Mus musculus: one gene and its partners. The protein of the gene in region 1 interacts with the protein of each later gene in a biochemical or structural test. Links are inferred from orthologs where the notes say so. Each region holds a gene or a part of one and is shown on either strand. Other genes may lie near its edges.

What was found.
Region 2: the proteins of Tert (region 1) and Cib1 form a complex in vitro, tested with the Homo sapiens proteins (2 studies listed by BioGRID). The link is inferred for Mus musculus from reciprocal best matches to the Homo sapiens genes TERT and CIB1.
Region 3: the proteins of Tert (region 1) and Tpp1 form a complex in vitro, tested with the Homo sapiens proteins (2 studies listed by BioGRID and IntAct). The link is inferred for Mus musculus from reciprocal best matches to the Homo sapiens genes TERT and TPP1.
Region 4: the proteins of Tert (region 1) and Ptges3 form a complex in vitro, tested with the Homo sapiens proteins (2 studies listed by BioGRID). The link is inferred for Mus musculus from reciprocal best matches to the Homo sapiens genes TERT and PTGES3.
Region 5: the proteins of Tert (region 1) and Hsp90aa1 form a complex in vitro, tested with the Homo sapiens proteins (2 studies listed by BioGRID). The link is inferred for Mus musculus from reciprocal best matches to the Homo sapiens genes TERT and HSP90AA1.

Annotation. Positions count from the first base shown.
Region 1 is NC_000079.6:73,633,396-73,636,922, forward strand, and holds part of Tert (telomerase reverse transcriptase), read left to right. Parts: intron 1-756; coding exon 757-952; intron 953-2,024; coding exon 2,025-2,205; intron 2,206-2,961; coding exon 2,962-3,141; intron 3,142-3,527. UniProt on the Homo sapiens protein: Telomerase is a ribonucleoprotein enzyme essential for the replication of chromosome termini in most eukaryotes. Active in progenitor and cancer cells. Inactive, or very low activity, in normal somatic cells.
Region 2 is NC_000073.6:80,230,005-80,234,265, reverse strand, and holds the start of Cib1 (calcium and integrin-binding protein 1), read left to right. Parts: upstream 1-1,460; 5' UTR 1,461-1,705; coding exon 1,706-1,756; intron 1,757-1,887; coding exon 1,888-1,922; exon of another isoform or gene 1,923-2,263; intron 2,264-3,841; coding exon 3,842-3,950; intron 3,951-4,261. UniProt on the Homo sapiens protein: Calcium-binding protein that plays a role in the regulation of numerous cellular processes, such as cell differentiation, cell division, cell proliferation, cell migration, thrombosis, angiogenesis, cardiac hypertrophy and apoptosis.
Region 3 is NC_000073.6:105,744,301-105,746,790, forward strand, and holds the end of Tpp1 (tripeptidyl-peptidase 1 preproprotein), read right to left. Parts: intron 2,473-2,490; coding exon 2,332-2,472; 3' UTR 511-2,331; downstream 1-510. Other genes in the region: Taf10 (transcription initiation factor TFIID subunit 10), read right to left, coding at 1-18. UniProt on the Homo sapiens protein: Lysosomal serine protease with tripeptidyl-peptidase I activity. May act as a non-specific lysosomal peptidase which generates tripeptides from the breakdown products produced by lysosomal proteinases. Requires substrates with an unsubstituted N-terminus.
Region 4 is NC_000076.6:128,057,831-128,061,796, forward strand, and holds the start of Ptges3 (prostaglandin E synthase 3), read left to right. Parts: upstream 1-1,151; 5' UTR 1,152-1,454; coding exon 1,455-1,456; intron 1,457-3,966. UniProt on the Homo sapiens protein: Cytosolic prostaglandin synthase that catalyzes the oxidoreduction of prostaglandin endoperoxide H2 (PGH2) to prostaglandin E2 (PGE2).
Region 5 is NC_000078.6:110,693,580-110,697,852, reverse strand, and holds the start of Hsp90aa1 (heat shock protein HSP 90-alpha), read left to right. Parts: upstream 1-1,457; 5' UTR 1,458-1,601; intron 1,602-2,172; coding exon 2,173-2,334; intron 2,335-2,434; coding exon 2,435-2,801; intron 2,802-3,148; coding exon 3,149-3,282; intron 3,283-3,509; coding exon 3,510-3,830; intron 3,831-3,976; coding exon 3,977-4,142; intron 4,143-4,273. UniProt on the Homo sapiens protein: Molecular chaperone that promotes the maturation, structural maintenance and proper regulation of specific target proteins involved for instance in cell cycle control and signal transduction.

The DNA of each region.
Region 1 (3,527 bases):
AGTGTATACAGCTGTTATGGTGCACGGAACTCACATGTCCAGCATGGCAGTAGGAGCAGCCTGTTCTCTACTTTGTTCTAGACATCTCTGAACTGCACTGCTCAGTAGCAATGAGTGTGTGTAGTCAGTGACCCGGTAGTATAGTACCAGCCGCCACTGAGGTTTGCCTGTGTATGTGTGCGGAGGTCTGAGGTTGACACTCCGTGTCTTCTTTAATCCCCTGGAGCTTGCTGATTCAGTTAGAGTTCATCTGTCTTTGCCTCCATAGTATTGGAACTGCAGGCACATGTCACCACTCCTGGCTTTTAAAACATGGGTTCTGACAACTGAACTCGGTTTTCATGCCCCTCCAGCAAGCACTTTACCAACTGAGCCATGTCCTTATCCCCTATCTGAAGATATAATTTGATTTAGAGCTGATAGAAGCTAGGGTTTGCTAAGTCAATCTAGCCTACAAGGATCACCGGTTCGTCACAGTGGAGCTACATCAGATACAGAGGTTGGTAGTGAGAGGCTGCTACTGGGGGATGAAGGATGCCTCAAGAACATTTCCCTGTCAGTCAGCAGCATTTCATCTGTAGTCAGTCGGCCTGCAGGATCCAGACATGGCTTTGTCAGGGAACTTTAGTTTACAGCATAAAGAAAGCACACACACAAAGGTTAAACTAGCTTATTAATTTGGGGACCTATGGCTTCCATGCTAGACATTGTGGATCTGAGGTGAGTCACGGAATGTTGAGTATCTACTACTTTCAGGGAAGGACCGTGTCCCCGCTGCAGAGCACCGTCTGAGGGAGAGGATCCTGGCTACGTTCCTGTTCTGGCTGATGGACACATACGTGGTACAGCTGCTTAGGTCATTCTTTTACATCACAGAGAGCACATTCCAGAAGAACAGGCTCTTCTTCTACCGTAAGAGTGTGTGGAGCAAGCTGCAGAGCATTGGAGTCAGGTACCACACAGCATCCCTCAGGTATCAGTGTCTCCTGTGTGCATACGCAGAGGCACCGGTGCACAGTGTGTGGCACCTGCTAGCCTGGGCATGGACCTTGAGGGCATAGATTCCCTGTAGCCATGGAATGGAGTCCCTGCTTTATTGCCTGTGAAATCATAAATTGGATCTGTACCATCTATAAGATCCTTAAGGTAGGAGAGCTTTTTTATCAAACGGGAGCGGAACTGATGGATTCCACCTCATGTCTACCCCTGAAGGAAAGGAAGTGTCTCCTCACTGGGAAACCACAAGGGTCCACCCTGAGAAGTGGCAGGGCTCTGAGTGGCTGAGGTTCTGTGCTGATTGAGCTAGAGTTTTGTTGTCTCAGCAGAAGGCCAAGCTGAGAGGGCAGTGGAGCAGCTAGGCAAGGCCTGCAAAGAGCAGACTACCATGTTAACTTTCTATTTTTGTTTGTTTGTTTGTTTTGTTTTGTTTTTATTTTTCAAGACAGGGTTTCTTTGTGTGGTCCTGGCTGTCCTGAAACTAGTTCCCTAGACCAGGCTGGCTTCAAACTCACAGAGAGCCACCTGCCTCTGCCTCCTGGGTGCTGGGATTAAAAGTGTGCGCCACCACCACCCAGCTCCATGTTAGCTTTCTTGAGGTCCAGCCTTAGCTATGGATCATATATCACCCACCCATTGTGCTTATGGGATCCTTAGCAACCAGCACAGGGCTTCCTGAGGGCAGGCAGGGACACTTTTTGCTTTCATACCTGTGTCTAAGCCAAGATATCCATAAGAGTCAGCGGATTGCTTCAAAAATATCCTGGCCAATGGGACCCCCAAGAAGGAAACACCAAGGACAGACTACGGGACCAGATGTCCCAGGTGCCGACCCAGGCTTCGTGTCATGAACCCTGTCCAGACAGGTCTATGGGGTGTGTGGGTTGTGTGGGTTGTTCTGGTCCTAGATGTAGCCCCATAGCATGGTCGGGTGTCAAGTGCTCCAAGTTCCCAACCACCCTGATGGGACATGTCTCATGAACTCCCTGCATGCTCCTGTCATAACTCCACGGTGCGCTCCGTAACAGGCAACACCTTGAGAGAGTGCGGCTACGGGAGCTGTCACAAGAGGAGGTCAGGCATCACCAGGACACCTGGCTAGCCATGCCCATCTGCAGACTGCGCTTCATCCCCAAGCCCAACGGCCTGCGGCCCATTGTGAACATGAGTTATAGCATGGGTACCAGAGCTTTGGGCAGAAGGAAGCAGGTGACCGGACTTGGCCCCTGTACTGATGGTTGAGTCTATACTCTGACTTAAGTAAGGGCTCATGAAGTTCTGAGGGAGGCTAAGTAACCTGTTGTTCCTAAGTCTAAAAACCCAGCATGTGGAAAGGGCTTAGAGATGGGAGATGGTCCCAAGACCCAGAGAGCTTGGGACACAAACCCTGGAGATCCCTCAGGGACCCTGCCAGGTAGGGTCGGCACTATATGGCCTCTATGCTGGGGGGGGGGGGGCAAAGTAACCAGGGGGGGGGGCAAAGTAACCTGACTCTACCACCAGGGCCTGGATGCTTCAGCATCTGGGTTAGCCAGGGGCCCTTGTAGGCCTCGAGGGTCTTCAAGGCTTTCCTTGTCCTAGGGTACTCAATCTGGGGCAATGGGATAGCGAGAGGACTATAGGCCCACCATGCCCCAGGGTCTTTTGTCTGGAACGTGGGATGGGAATGTGCGGTAGTGGAGTGGAGAAGCGTGGAGTATCCTCCTGCATCTAGAGTATCTCCTGACTCTAGCCCAGTGGGCATGTTCTAGAAGGCACTACCCCTGGAAGAGGATGAGAACAGGTTGAGGCAGGTTGGATGAAGGCCCCACATACAGTCAATTGACTTAGTGAGATAGATCCTCTAAGACTCTGGCTCTAGAGGAGCTCTGGCTGAGCTATAGGAGTCTATTCTGAGAAATCGGGGTGGTCAGGGAACAGTCTGCCAGGTCCCTTTCTAATGTGTCCTCTATGGCCCTGGCACAGGCCCAGCATTTCACCCAGCGTCTCAAGACTCTCTTCAGCATGCTCAACTATGAGCGGACAAAACATCCTCACCTTATGGGGTCTTCTGTACTGGGTATGAATGACATCTACAGGACCTGGCGGGCCTTTGTGCTGCGTGTGCGTGCTCTGGACCAGACACCCAGGATGTACTTTGTTAAGGTGGTCATTTGGACTCCTGTCTATCACATTTGCTCTCATGGTCTGGGCTCTAGGGACCTCCTTGAAATAAGCAATGCTGGGTGACCCTGTTGCAGCCTCTTGTTGGTGATTGGGAGTGTTAGCCTGCTACCCTATACAGGCCAAAAATATTATGGCCCCCAGTTCTCTCAAGATCAGAAAGACCCCATGGTGGGGGAGGGGTTGATAACTAGCTCCCAGGACAGTCTTGAGCTCTATATGGGTTCCCTTGACAGTACATTCCAACCTCTCTGGTCTCCGCTCTGTGCGAGACCCTTTGGATTCTGGGTCCTCTTCAGAGAAGTAAAGCCTGACTCTACCACCAGGGCCTGGATGCTTCAGCATCTGGGTTAGCCAGGGGCCCTTGT
Region 2 (4,261 bases), on another chromosome or scaffold:
TCCCAGCATTAGGAAGGTGAGAATTACTGCTCTCGAGGAGCAGAACTGATGAATATTTACTAAGAGGGGATTTATTAAATTGGTTTACTCAGTATTGTCTGGGCTGATCAACAGCGGCAGCTGTCCCCAAGGATGCATCTCTGCAGTCCCAAGCCGGTGCTGGGTTCCTAGAGAGCTGTTGGTCTTCAATCTGAGTTGGCAGCTGGAACACTATGATTCTAATGTCATTAAAGGAAATCCTTAGTGGCAGGTACAGGATAGAGACTTATCAGCAAGCCAAGGCAAACAGGCCAAAAGCCATCTTCCGTTTCCGTTTGGTACGGGTTGCCACCTGAGCGCACTGCCGCAGTAGATTTTCGCACTTCAAATAAACTGATCAAGAAAATCCCTCTGCTCAGGGGTTTCTATGAGGTAAGACCCTGAGTGGACCAGGAAAGCAAGCCATAGCCCCTGGGCTTTGCGGTAGAGCCTGCACCTCTCCTGGAGGCTAAAGAAGGAGCAGAGAGAAAGAAGCATGAGAAGCAAGGTTTACAGTCTCCTACCCAGAGGGTATGGAACATCTAGCTGGACTGGCCGGATGAAGGACCAGACTTCTCTAGGAATGAATACCAGTCCAGTACGAAGTTAAAATATTCTCAAATAAATTGTAATTGACTTGGCCCTGTTGTGCCAGGTGACGAAGCAAAAAAAAAAAAAAAAAAGAAAAAAGAAAATCCCTCACAGGAGTGTCAAGCTGTTTCCCTTCTCCTTGACTCCAGATCCAACCAAGTTGACCACCCAGATCACAAAATCCACATTTCCTCCTCCGGAAGCTTGGAATCTTCACTTTTTCACACAGTGTAAATATGTTCATACTTGCATCTGATTATTATTTGAGAGGAGAGAAGGGCAAATCTTGGTTCCTACAGCTGGAAGCTCGCAATTTGTGGGAGGAATCAAAGGAGGCACCCCAGCTGTGACGATAAAACAGCAGGAGGGACCTGTGGACAGAACTGACCTCTAAATACCGGAGTCCGGACACATCACTGAAATTGAACCTGTTTGTAAAATGGAAGCCTACCTTGCTAACTGTTCCACGAATGGGCGATAACTGCACAATCCAGTAAACACCTTCAAGAGCCACTTCAAGAGGAAGCTAAGCTTCTTCTGGAAGAATTGGCACGGTGGCAGAGGCTGCAGCTCTTGTCCCGTGAGACAGTCTAGGACTGACCCTATCCGCAGAGGGGCACCGGATCTCCTCCAGCCCGGGAGCGAGTATGGAGGTTACCCGCCTCCACCCAGAGCTGGGGTCTTCTGCACTTGATTTAGGTGAGGCGGATGCATCTCAAGGCTCAGTGCACAGACGGGTCCCGGAACTCAGCAAACGCGTGAAGACCGCGACGCAGGCGCAGTCTGCATCACGTGCGCATGGCTCGTTCCGCCCCGCCCACTAGAAGGCGGGGCCACGAGGCCTGGGCCCCGCCCCGATGCGTCCGGCTCCTCCCCGGGCCCTCCCTCCAGCTCTCCTGGGCCCGCGGGGAGCCGGGAGCCGGCCCGCTGAGCGGCGCTAAGGGTGGCGGGGCACTGTAGGCAGGGGCGGGCCCGGGGGCGGAGGCCAGGCAGCGGTTGCTACGGGGACTGGGCGGGGACGCGGCCCCGAGGACGGAAGTGAGAAAGTTGCCGGCGTCCCGGGGAGAGTTGGCCTAGCTGTGCGCGCACCGCGGCGATGGGAGGTTCGGGCAGTCGCCTGTCTAAGGAGCTGCTGGCCGAGTACCAGGTGCGCGGGGCGCCAGTTCTCGCGGAGCTCGCGTGCGAGCCCGCGCAGGGGAGTGGGGTTCGGGGAACAGGTGGCGGGGCGGCCGTGGCTTTCGGGCGGCTTGCAGACCCTTGTCTGGATTTGCCTTTCAGGACCTGACGTTCCTGACCAAGCAGGAGATCCTCCTGTGAGTGCTGCCCTGACCCCGGTCCTCCAACTCGGGATTGCCAGGGGAGGGCTTTGCGGGTACTTTTCTCGCGGGATACGGATTGGACGTCTCACCTCCGAGGGTGGGGCTGTGCTTCTGGGATGTCAGGATCACTGGATCTGGAGTCGGAGGCTCAGAGTGCAAGTCCCACCCGCTCCAGAGCCTCACCTTTGCACCACGCAAACACTTCTGTGTATCCAGGAAAAGTTGAACTGTTTGAGCTCCTCTAGCCTCCTCACTGCCGAGCTTCCTGCTCGCTTCTAAAAGGAACTGCTGTGACTCTTTGCGGACTTTGCCCTCTGGCAAAACCAAGAGGTCTTGTACGTGGCTCGCTCCAATCCCAACTTTACCTGTTTAATTCAGTAACCGTTAACGTTTACTGAACCCTTACTCTGCCCAGTAGCTCCTGAGTGATCCACACATTACTTCAGGAGGAGGTTACAGATCAAGGAATCAGGTTCAGAGAGTTCTGAGAACTTGACTATAAAGCACACTATAAGTGATTTGCTGGCCAGAGCGCTTGAGTTAGGTTCCTAGCCCCACAATGAAATTCTACTGGGAAAGAGGTGGTGGCTGAGAGGAGTCTCTGGAGTGGAGGTAACATGTGTTTTTGTTACTGTAATGTTAGAGTCCAGGTACTTGGCCCACACAGGCAGTCCTAACCAGCTAGGCTGTGCTACCTGTCCTCAGTAGGCCAAGGAAAGGGACAATATTGAAAAGCAGAGAAACGAAATGTATCCAATGTGGCCATACTGGGAAAAAAAAAAAGCTAAGAATGGACATGACCGCTCCTCCCCCCATCTTTAAGTCAATCTTCATGTCCAGCTGATGTGAGGTTTATATTTAAATAAAGGGCAAGGGTATGTAAAATTAAGCAGCAGTCCTGGGCAAGATGGAGTCTCTCCTTCATTGTCTCAGCTCTAGTCTCATGAAAGGTGATCTTCTGACAAGTTACCAGAGCCGTCTGTGTAAAATCTCTTCCTGGTAGACATTTTCTCCTAAGTAGACAACAGGCTTCAATTCATCCTTCTCACAACACGAGATTGCCGGGGAATTCCAATTTCTCGGGGGACATTGTTTCTGTAGTTCAATAGCCAAAGGGACAGGCACAGATGTCTCTAGAGTTATCTTTTTCCTGCCAGGACTGTTGCAAAGAATGCCTGACACTGAAAGGGAAAGTCGCAGCTCAGGACCCCCAGACCAAGTTCTTAGCACAAAGGAGATTTATTGCCTTAGAGGGACAGAGGGCAAGAAATAACAAAGACATGAGTTCGAAGACAGGAAGAAGGGGAAGGGAACAATGGAGAGGTGGAAGGAGTATTTGTCCTACAGGAGAAAGGACTGCCTCTGGATAGAGAGGAGACAGACATGGACATAGGAAAATGGCAGATTATAAAGGTATAAGGGGAAACCCTGGGCTACGAGGAGGTGTTTAATTTTAGCCAAAGGGGGCTTTTGATTGCTGGACGTGAATACTTTGATAGCTGGACCTTGGTCGTCGGCCTCAGGAGGAGGAAGTGGCCAAATAGGGGAATAGACTTTGGGGGCTGGCTTTAGCAATGTAGGTTTGTAGCAAGGTAGAAGGAATTGGGCCCTGCAGAGTGAGCAAGGCCTGCCAGAACCATGCTCACCAAGCTAGTCAGAGTCCCTTCAGATAGTGTCTTGCAGACATGGGTAAGTTCTTATAATTGCCCACCCTAAGAAGGGACCCCCCCAAGCCTCTGCTGTTTTGTGAATTACCCTCTTTGGCTAAAGATTGCCCAATGACTGGGAATCCTGGGTGTGTGACTTAGTTTCACAGCTGGTTTATAGGGCATTCAAACCGCAGAATGGGGATGTCATAAATACAGGGAGACTGACTGCTTGAGGCCACCAATAAGTTCCCCTCTCTCTGCCAGAGCCCACAGACGCTTTTGTGAGCTGCTTCCCCCAGAGCAGCGGACCGTGGAGGAGTCACTGCACACCCGAGTATCGTTTGAGCAGATCCTCAGCCTCCCAGAGCTCAAGGTTCAGTCCTCTACCCACTTCATCCACCCTCTCTCTGCTAGTACCTTCCCTAACCCTTCCTATTGATTGTAAGCACATGCCACCACACCCTGGGGTTTTTATTTTGATGACATGGAATTGTGTGGGATGTGTACACATGTAAGTGCTGGTGCCTGTCGAGTTTCCCTGGTGCTGGGGTTATACGTGGTTGTGAGCTGTTCCTCACAGGTGCCAGGAACTGAACTAGGGTCCTCTGCAAGAGCAGTATGGACTTGTAATCCCTGAGCCATCTCTTCAGCCCACTCTTCCCGTTTAAAACCAGCATTCGTTCT
Region 3 (2,490 bases), on another chromosome or scaffold:
GGAGCCGCTGCAGCTCATGGGGCCGGTGGGAAAGGCGGCGAACAGAGCCGCTTCCGCTTCCGCTCGCCCAGGCGCACGCTGCGTGACGTTACAGTTCCCGCCCACCACTCTAAGCTGCCGCGGGCGACCTTAGGTTGGCTGTTAGTGGATGAGGTGTAGACTTCAAGGCGGAGGCGAGCTGTGTGAGATGTGGCTGCCACCCTGCGGTTCCACCCCGGCCCGGGTGGGGCCGCAGAGCATCCAGGACTGAATACTTTATCTGGGTTCGTTCAACGACCTGGCTTGGGGACTCATCTGCCAGACACTTCATTACCAGTCTCCTGACGGTCTTCATGCATTCTTTGTAGTTCCCTTTCATGGTCTTTTAAGGGTTGCAGTGGATTTGATGTGTGTCCCTCCCACCCACAACGGGCTTAGGAGAGTACCTCTGTAAATGTAGAGATGGGTGTTTTACCCTGAAGAAATAGCATGCCAAAGTCTTGTGTGAAACACATTTACAATACAACAGACTTTTTTTTTAAACAGTCATTTATTTAATTTCTATTTGGGCTGGGACCTAGGAATACAAAGTTAAGAATCAGATTCTAGTTCACTAGCACCGACTGTCTGGAAAAGGAAGGCAAACAAACTGACAATTTCAATACTGTATGATTGTTTCCCAGCTACATGTAGGTGCAGTGCAAAGAAGAAAGGGAAACTAACATTCATTGCTTAATTCCAAGTGTGAGACATTAGCAATGTTTATTTCCCGATTTTGAAGGCAAGTTTCAATGTCTCTGACTTTTACCCAGTAATCTTTGAAGGGTTTGCACAAATACATAGACTGCTTGGTTTGGAAGATGAGGGGCTTCGGAAGCCTTTCCTCTCCCCAAGTGCTTCCTGCAGTTTAGAAGAAAAAAGAACATGGGCTCAAAGATAATGCAGTATTTTGTGCATGTGTGTGTGTGCACATATGTGTATTTTTGAGACATGGTCTGACTATGTAGGCCTGGCTTGTCTGGAACTCTTTATATAGACCAGGATGGCCTCAAACTCAGAGACTTGCCTGGCCTCTGTCTCCTGAGTGCTGGGATTAAAGGTGTGCATCACCACACTAGCCGATAAAGATATACTTGAGAGGCAGTCAAGAAAACTTTTTGAAGTTAGTAAGGAGGTGAAAAAGATGAGAGTTAAGAGTTATAGGTTTCTGGCTTGTTTGAAAGAGGCATTATATCATAGATTAAGAGATGAAATAGTTTAGGTCTGGGCTGGAGGGAGATGAAGTAACGAGGTATCTCACATTTGAGGTATCACTCACTGTGGGTATAGATGTCAGTGATCTGTCAAGGGATGATAATAAAATGATAAGAGCAAGAAACTAAGAATGGAACAATGAACACAGCATCCCTGGAGTCAGCAGAAAAGGGGGCTGATTAGTGTGGTCAGAGGGGGGTCACTGAGGAAAAAGGATAAATGGGAAACTGATGGAAAGAACAAACACCCAGGTTCACAGAAGCTAGATGTTTGTAATGTCTGACAGTTGAAATTAAAACCTGAATGTTGCTTTGGTGTAGCTGAGAAGGGGAAAATAAAATGTAAATTTTAAAACACTTTACAAAAAAAAAAATCACTCAAGCAAAAATTTAAAGCAAAATTTGTAATGACCTATTTATTTTGTTGAGGAATTTTGCCAATGAGAACATTTCAAACATTTTAAGTTTTCAATTTTTAACTTTCCTTAGAATAGTTATATAGTTAAATAGATTGCAGCCAATGTGTTCTTTTTCTTTTTTTTTTTTAATGGTTTTTTGACAACCTGTTCTTAAATAAGAAAACCCATAAAACAAACACTGAAAAGGGTATAACTGGATAAAACATTGGGGAGACCATTGTACTTCAGTGCCGAGAGAAGAAAGACAAAACGATTAGTCAAAGGTCTCACTTCAGTGAACGGAAAAGCAAACCCGAAGAGAAATAGAGTGTACGGTCAGTGCAGAGGTGGTAAGCGTTGGGTGGACCTGCTAGTGTCAGTAATGGAAGACTGAACCTTCTTGCCCTGCTTTCACATCTCAAGCTGGAAAGAGGAAGGAGAGATGGGGTTGGGGTGAGACAAAATATGCTGGTTATAGCATCTTGTTGAGGATCTTGAAGTAGAAGTTTGGAGACCTGAGTTTGATGGCACACAGTAGGATTGAGAGTTGAGTCCTGTTCACAGCATCTGAGGGTTAGGGAGAAGCTATCTGCAGCAGGCAACAGGAGTTCAGCAGGGCTTCTATCGAGGAATAACAAGAAACTGAGCCTTCCCTTTTAGTACAGGGAACAGTTCTGCTTTCTCGTCATGGCACGAAAGGGTCAAGGGTTGAGCAGGGTCTTCAGTAGGGCTGGGAAGTTGGGTGTTCCCCAACCTGTCACAGGATCCCAGCCAGGACCAGAGCAGAAACCCTGACCCTCCACTTCTTCATTCAGACAGGACTCATGGCAGCCGTGGGTTACCTGGGAGGAGATGATGGC
Region 4 (3,966 bases), on another chromosome or scaffold:
TCAAAGGATCTCAGGCCCTATTTTTGACCTCTGTGTGGGAATCAGGCACACACACGGTACACATACATAATTGTTGACAGAATACTTACATCACCTCGGGAAAAAATGGAAATTTGAAACAGGGAAGTTGCCCACACTACCAAGTTGTCCCAGCTCCTTCAGCTGAGATTACAAGCCTGTGACACTACACCAGACTAATTTTCATTTCCCTGACAGGTGGTAAAGTTCTTAACATCAGGCAATTGGATCTGGACTATACAGCCAACATCACCAATTAGTCTGCACTGACATCAATATCAAAAGAAAAAAGCCTGTAATACCAGCACATAAGAGACTGAAGCAGGATTACTCTAAAAACCTGATGTCCTAATAGTGGCTCATTGGTCTACCTCTGCCCTAATCCGTCAGTTTTTGATAAGCAGAGATTGTTCTTGGCTACTAACCCCATTTAACCCAGGGCATTGTATACAAAACCAGTCAAAGGATTTTCAAATAGATCCTTAACCACCTCATCTGAACTCACGCAAGGAGACAGCGAATTAATCTAGAAACTTCCCTCCTCGCCTCCCCCAGGGCGCCAATGTCTCCAAGCAGGGGGGAGAGGCGCGCCCCTAAAGGCAAAGAGGCAAAAGCAGCTCCTCCGCTAAAGGAGCCCAGGCGGGATCCGGACAATCAGAAAAACAGCGAGTGGTCCAGGCTTTAAGGACGAAGCCGTTTTTCCACGGATGCAACCGGCGTTGCCGGGCGTGGTGGCTTTGGCACAGGACTGCAATCCCGGACTCGGGCGACTGAACTCGAGGCCAACCTGGGTTTGCGGCAGGCACCCCTGTCTAAGACAAAACAATCCCCACACATCGCCTTGGGGTCTGCTGTATACGCCGCAGCGTCCCACCGCCTTCCAGGGCGGCCCCTACGTCTCTCGGGGAGATCGCCCGCGAGCGTGCTCAGGCGGTTGGCGGCCAACGGCTTGCTAACGCGAGACCGGAGCCCGGGAAGACAGGCGCGAACGGGGCAGCCGGAGGGTCGAGGGGAGGGGCGGGCGCGGGAAGGATCGCGAAGGAGCCGGGAGGCCCCGCCCCTTCCGTAGAGATCTCTAGAAAACCGCGCAGAGCCTGGAAACGGCGATTGCGCACGCGCGGCGGCCGGCCCGGGCATTTTGCTGCGTCACCAGCCGCCGCCCGGCCTCGCCACCCCTCGCGCGCACGCACGCTCCTTCTCCGTCCTCGCGCCCCTTTTCCTACACTTTCCTTCTCTCCCGGGTTGAGGGAGCCGCTCTCCGCGCGGTGCATTCTGGGCATCGAGGCCGAGCCCGCCGCCGCCGTCGCCTAAGAGGAGCGAGGAGAGGCCGCGACCGGGCAGAGACCGCCGGAGTCGCCGCCGGAGAGGAGTCGACTCGCCAGCCGCCGCCAGCGAGGCCCGCCCACCCGTTTGTCTGGCCCTCTGCCCCGTTCACCATGTGAGTGCGACATCCCGCCGACGGAAGGTCGTCCCGGAGCGGAGCGAGGCCGCGCCGGGAGCCCCGGCTGCCGGGAAACGGCCCCTCGCCCTCCCCCCACCCTCGGCCCTTCGCCTTTCTCCCCGCCCGCGCTGGTGGCAGCCCTGCCGTGGGGTGGGAGGGCCTGCATCCTTGTTCCTGTTACCGTTGGAGGACATTTTTCCTCCAGATGTCCGTTTCCCCACCTCCAGATCGACCCCCGGATTCCTCGTGCCAGAAATCCCACTTTTCTTCCCTAGACAGCCTGGCTCTCTCGGAACTCTGGGAACTTAGCCTTAGGCCCTAAACTCGTGTGTGAGCTTTCCGCCATGAGGGCGCCGGGAGCCGTGGAGTCCTGCCGCTCGGTGCTGATGCCCGGACCCGGCAGGACCGGGCTGAGAGCATTTGTGGGTGCCGCCGTAAGCCGGTGCTACCGGTAGGGCACCACGCGGCCCTCGGCGGCAGGCACTGCTAGGCAACTAGAGGGGGCCATGCCGTCACCACAACGAAACTTCCCGTTCCCACATCTCGGGTCTCTTGAAAATGGTGAACGCTAGCAAATGCGGTCACCTCCTTGGCAGCGAGTAATAGTTACTATGGAGCAGGTAGTTCTGCACGTGTCTAGTCACAAGATACTTGTGGACTCTTTTCTTCTCTGTACCTCAATAAACTTTGGGTGGCATTTCGTCATGCTCTTTGTATGCGGAGGTGAAACAGGTATAAAATGACCATCTCACTTGCCTGAAGGTCTTAATTTGTTTATATGGAGGTTACAGATTCTTTTAATCTAAGAATTTTTGCCCTTATTTTTCTAGCCTGGACAACTTTCAAATATGAGAGAATTGAATTACAGTACTTGAGGGTGGTGTGGGTGGCTGCTATGCACAGCACTAAAAGTTACGGATTGTAGTTGAAAAAAAAAGTTTAACGATTGTACAAGTTTAAGTTTTAACTGCTTGCTTGAATGGCTAAAAATCTAAATTGATAGACGATGTCCTAGAGCCAATTAGTGGCTGAGAAACAGGTCCTAGAAGAAGACCATGTAGTACTAGAAAATGTGTAAAGAAATTTGGAGGAGTCCCCCATAAAAACAAAGATATGTAGCAGGTTTTACATTTTAGTGTTTCATTATAGTAATTTTATTCATGTGTGTGCCCTCCCCCCACCCCCTCGTGTTCCTGGAGGTAAGAGGACAGTCTGTGGGGAAACAATTTAAGTTGTCAGGTAGAGAAACGGAGAGCCTTCACTTGCTTAGCCATCTCACCAGCATGGATTTAAATTTTACCTTTGAGATGTTAAGAAAAAGCTCTTGTGTGTGACTGACCTGTATTCTGATGTCATGTTGGCTTCTTAGGACAAGTTTATGTAAAAACTTTTTGATATTTTCCAAACTGTACGGGGAAAATGAATTGCTAGGTAAAACATAATCAATTTAGTAGATAAACATAGCCAAACGAAACATCTTTTCATCCAGAAGTAGCAATTTAGGAGGTAGAGAGACTGCGCAGTGATTAACAGCACTGGCTACCCTTGCTGAGAACCCAAGTTCTATTACCAGAACCAACTGCCTGCTGAGAGCAGAGGTGTTAGTTCTGAATCTGGAGTTAGAGGCAGTTGTGAGCCACCCTGCTTGGGTGCTCTTGTAGAAGCAAGAGCAGTGTGGTGTGGATGTTTTGTCTGTATGTTTGTGTATCATCTGCACTGCTAGAGGCCAGGCCTGAAGAGAATGTTGGATACCCTGGAGCTAGAGGTTTGTGAATCACCATGTGGGTGCTGGGGCTAGAACCCTGGGTCCTCTGGAAGAGCAGCCAGCGCTTTTAACCCTTGAGCCATCTTTCCAACCTTTGTGTGTGTGGGTGCTCTTGTTTGTTTTTGTCTGTTTTGATTTTTAGGTTTTTTTTTTTTTTTTGGTTTTTTGAGACAGGGTTTCTCTGTGTAGACCAGGCTGGCCTTGAACTCAGAAATCCGCCTGCCCCCTGAGTGCTGGGAATAAAGGCGTGCACCACCACGCCCAGCTTTTTTTTTTTTTTTTTTTTTGAGACAAGTTCTCCCTGTGTAGCTCTGGCTATCCTGGAACTTGGGCTGGAGATACACCTGCCTCTGCCTCCCTGAGTTCTAGGATTAAAGGTGTACAACTCCTGATCCTATTACCTTCTTTAAAGGGATTGTTTTTTGAGAAAGCGTCTATGCTGCCCTAGGTGGCCTAACCTCCCAATATGTGGGAGGATCCCCCTTGAACTCCTACTCTTTCCCTCCACTTCCTAATTATTTGGGATTATAGGTGAACCCAATAGGATTATATATTGGGATTATATAAGATCAAGGCCAGATAGGTCTATATAGTGTGCACACATCTCATTTATTTTTGTTTTTTGTGATGAGGTTTCTGTGTGGACCAGGTTTGCACCATTGTGCACATTTTGAAGAGGTCAGATACCTGGTCTTTTTAAAATGGTCATTCTACAGGGTTAAAGAGGTGGCTCATCCTTTAG
Region 5 (4,273 bases), on another chromosome or scaffold:
GCTTGGATTAAAAAGGCTTATGCCACCACTGCCTGGCTTCCTCTTTCCCGGCTTCTTTTCTTTCTAAGCTTTTATTTATTATTTTATGTGTATTGGTGTTTTGCCTACATGTATGTTTGTGTGAAGGTGTCAGATATTGGAGTTATGGACAGCTGTGAGCTGCCTTGTGGGTGTTGGGAATTGAACCTGGGTCCTCTGGAAGACCAGTCCATGCTTTTAACCACTGAGCTATCTCTCCAGCCCTTTTCTTTCTAATCTTAGTAATCGTTTTGTCAGCAGGAAAAGATGCGGAAATAGGAAATACAGGGTGGGAGTAACCCAAAGGAAAGGTATGGGGAGTGAAACCGAAGCCTATATTAAAGATAAACAAACAAGGAAACTATCTTTTGGGTCACGTTAATCGCCCAAAGTAACTTCGTATGTACACCATATGAAGGTGCTTCAAAAATCAGGATAGAGTGTTTTATATGACCATTTTTTGACTGCGTGTGCCTGTGCACCATGTGTGTTCCTGGTGCCCGTGGAGGCCAGAGAGGATAGTTTATTTCCAAGAACTGTAGTAACTGGTGGTTGTGAGCTGCCTTAACGTGCGTGTTTGGCACCACTAACTGCTCCCAGCCATCTCTCTAGTCCTTTACACTTATTTTCACACTGTGCGAGTGTGTGTGTGTATGGGCACGTGGGAGACACAGCGCTGAAGGCTAGCTTTTTTTCCCACGCTCTGGGTGGCAGATATCAAACCCAAGCACCTTTACTGGAAGAGCCATCTTTCCAGCCCCAAAATTACAGTAAATTAAGGTAGCACAAATTTGATACAAAATCCCTCACAACGCCCAATTTGAGGGTCATAGCTTTTGGTCAAAGAGAAATCCCCAAGCACTCTGGACGGATTTGTAAGACCCACCGTGTAAGGTCTCTCAGTAAGCCCACTGTAAGGCTTCAGAACACACTCCAGCGGGGTCAGCCCTGAAATTCAGACTACGCAACCAGAACCCCAGTCCGGGAGGCGCCCCACCCATCAAGGTGGAAGCCAGGGGGGGGGCGGGACTCGCCTCCTGCGGGGTCCGCGTTCCCAAAGGGAGCCCGAAGGGGGACCTTTTGCCTGCAAGGACCTAAAGCGCCGCAGAGGACCGCGAGGTTCACACAACACGCGCGCGTTCCCATGGGGACGTCCCTTTTACAGAGCGCCGGGGAAAAGAAGCCTTAGACCACAGGGCTCACATGGAGGCTTCAGGCGCATGCGCTGGCCGGCCCGTCCGCGCGCGCGCGTGCGGCCCGGGAAGGCGCCCGGCCCGCCGAGCGTTCCGGACTGCGCATGTGCAGAGCACCTGGCTGTGGAGGAGGGGCTTGCGTTCGTTCTCCGCGCGGGTTCGGCGCGCTCCAGGTGGAGGGGCGGGGCCCGTCCATTGCGCAGGCGCGGGCGCGCGGCCGAGGCGACGGTTGGGGAGGGTTCTTCCGGAAGGTTCCGGAGGCTTCTGGAAAGAAGCGCCGCGCGCTGGGCGGGCCCGCCTCTATATAAGGCCGGCGCAGGGGGCGGCGCGCCAGTTGCTTCAGTGTCCTGGTGCGGAGCGTCACGTCTCGTGCGTGTTCATTCAGCCACGGTGAGTGATGGCGCAGGCGGACTTAGCGGGGGCTTGGGGAGCAGGGCCGTAGGTTGCTGGCGCCGCGGCGGCAGCGGGGCCACCATCCGAGTTCCCTCAGCCCGCGGAGGTGGGCGGCCATGGCTTCCGACCCTAGGCCCCAGGCGGGCCTCATATCTACGCCCCAGGCCGGGGATGCGGCAATGGCCGCCGAGGAGGAGCGGTGGCGGCGGCGAGGCGGGCGCGGGGCGAGCGAAGCGAGGGTTGGGCTGTCGCCGGTGCCGCCGAGGCGCGGGCGGGCGAGGGAGGCGCCATAGCGGCGGGTTGGGGGAGGGTGGCCGTTAGGAACGGCGTGCGTGGAGCCGCCCGGGTCCGAACGTCCTCCCGGAGGCGCGCACATGCGCTTCGTAATTACCGCATTCTGAAATGAGGTCATCCCTTTGTCATCCACCCCCCGCCCCGTCGCCCTTTTCTATTTCGTCCCTTTCTTAGTCCAAAATAGAGTCGGTAAGAGACCTCTATAGAGGAGGGGCGGTCGTTAGCACGCCTGCAGCCATTCTGTGAGGCTTTAGAGTCGTCCTCTGTGTTCCAGATGCCTGAGGAAACCCAGACCCAAGACCAACCAATGGAGGAGGAGGAGGTCGAGACCTTTGCCTTTCAGGCAGAAATTGCCCAGTTAATGTCCTTGATCATCAATACCTTCTACTCGAACAAAGAGATCTTTCTGAGGGAGCTCATCTCCAATTCATCGGACGTGAGTATACCACTTGGAGGATTGGACGTTGCTTTCCCTGAAAATTTCACCTTGGGGTTTGCGCTTGACGGTTTTTTCATTTTTAATCTTTTCTTAATAGGCTCTGGATAAAATCCGTTACGAGAGCCTGACGGACCCCAGTAAACTGGACTCGGGGAAGGAGCTGCACATCAATCTCATTCCCAGCAAACAGGACCGAACCCTGACCATTGTGGATACCGGGATTGGAATGACCAAGGCCGACTTGATCAATAACCTTGGCACCATTGCCAAGTCGGGCACCAAAGCCTTCATGGAGGCTTTGCAGGCTGGTGCAGATATCTCTATGATTGGCCAGTTTGGTGTTGGTTTTTACTCTGCCTATTTGGTTGCTGAGAAAGTGACTGTCATCACGAAGCATAACGACGATGAGCAGTATGCCTGGGAGTCCTCAGCTGGGGGATCCTTCACAGTGAGGACTGACACAGGTAGGCATAGGCCAAAAGGAATGTATTCAATTGTAGGGGGTGTCTGGTTAACTTCAGTAAGTGCTTGAGAGGGTTAACTTGGAGAGTTGAAGAGTTAAAGAGCAGTCTGGCATACATAGCCTTAGTGCTAAGTCCTGAGCTTTTCAACAAAATTGTTAATCTAAAGGGAGCTTCAGGACCTGGGCTAGGAAATAGGAAAAATGTATGGCTGTTTGCTCAGTTGTACATCTTGGGCAAGGAAGTTAAAGCTTTGGAGACCTTTGCATTTGTGGGGAAGGTTAGCTGCTAGGAAACCTCCAGCAAGCATGGAGGCTTTGAATAGTAACCATTGCCCTTTTCTTTTCCAGGTGAACCAATGGGTCGTGGAACAAAGGTTATCTTGCATCTGAAAGAAGACCAAACAGAGTATTTGGAGGAAAGGAGAATAAAGGAGATCGTGAAGAAGCATTCTCAGTTCATTGGCTATCCCATTACTCTCTTTGTAAGTTACCTACAGGGTAAATTTCATATAATTGAGATAACTGAGGCTGTTTAGAGTTCTGTGAACCTGGTGTTGTACTAGACAGATTAGCCTGTTTGGAAAGGTGGTATCTGAAGAGGATTGTGGAGAAATTAGAGAAACTACTGATGAGAGGCTTCTTGGTTGTACACATTTCTGAGATCTGTCCTAGTTGTATAAATTTATAATGAAGTGATTTGCCTTTCAAGGTGGAGAAGGAACGAGATAAGGAAGTCAGTGATGATGAGGCTGAAGAAAAGGAAGAGAAAGAGGAAGAGAAAGAAAAAGAAGAAAAGGAGTCTGATGATAAACCTGAAATAGAAGATGTTGGCTCTGATGAAGAAGAGGAGGAGAAGAAGGATGGTGACAAGAAGAAAAAGAAGAAGATAAAGGAAAAGTACATTGATCAAGAAGAACTCAACAAAACAAAGCCGATTTGGACGAGAAATCCTGATGACATCACTAATGAGGAATATGGAGAGTTCTACAAGAGCTTAACTAACGATTGGGAAGAACACTTGGCAGTAAAGGTGAGTGACTTAAAAGCAGGTTTTCAGGTTGACTTTTTAAACCTCTATACTCACCTATAGAAAAGCTTCGAAGTGTAACTTAGCCCAGTAGAGAAAGCCAATTCATTTTGTCCATGGCATTAAAAGGTTGTTTCATTTTATTGCAGCATTTTTCTGTTGAAGGACAATTAGAATTCCGGGCCCTTCTTTTTGTCCCAAGACGCGCTCCTTTTGATCTGTTTGAAAACAGAAAGAAAAAGAACAACATCAAGTTGTATGTTCGCAGAGTTTTTATCATGGATAACTGTGAGGAATTAATCCCTGAGTATCTGAGTAAGTAGGGATGGGAAGAATCGGCACTGTTGACAGACAGAAAATCCCATTCGTTGGGTCTGTGTTGGTGGGGGACTGAGGATGTAACCTAGTGGAGACGGGGTTTGCCTAACTTGTTTGAGGCTCTGGGC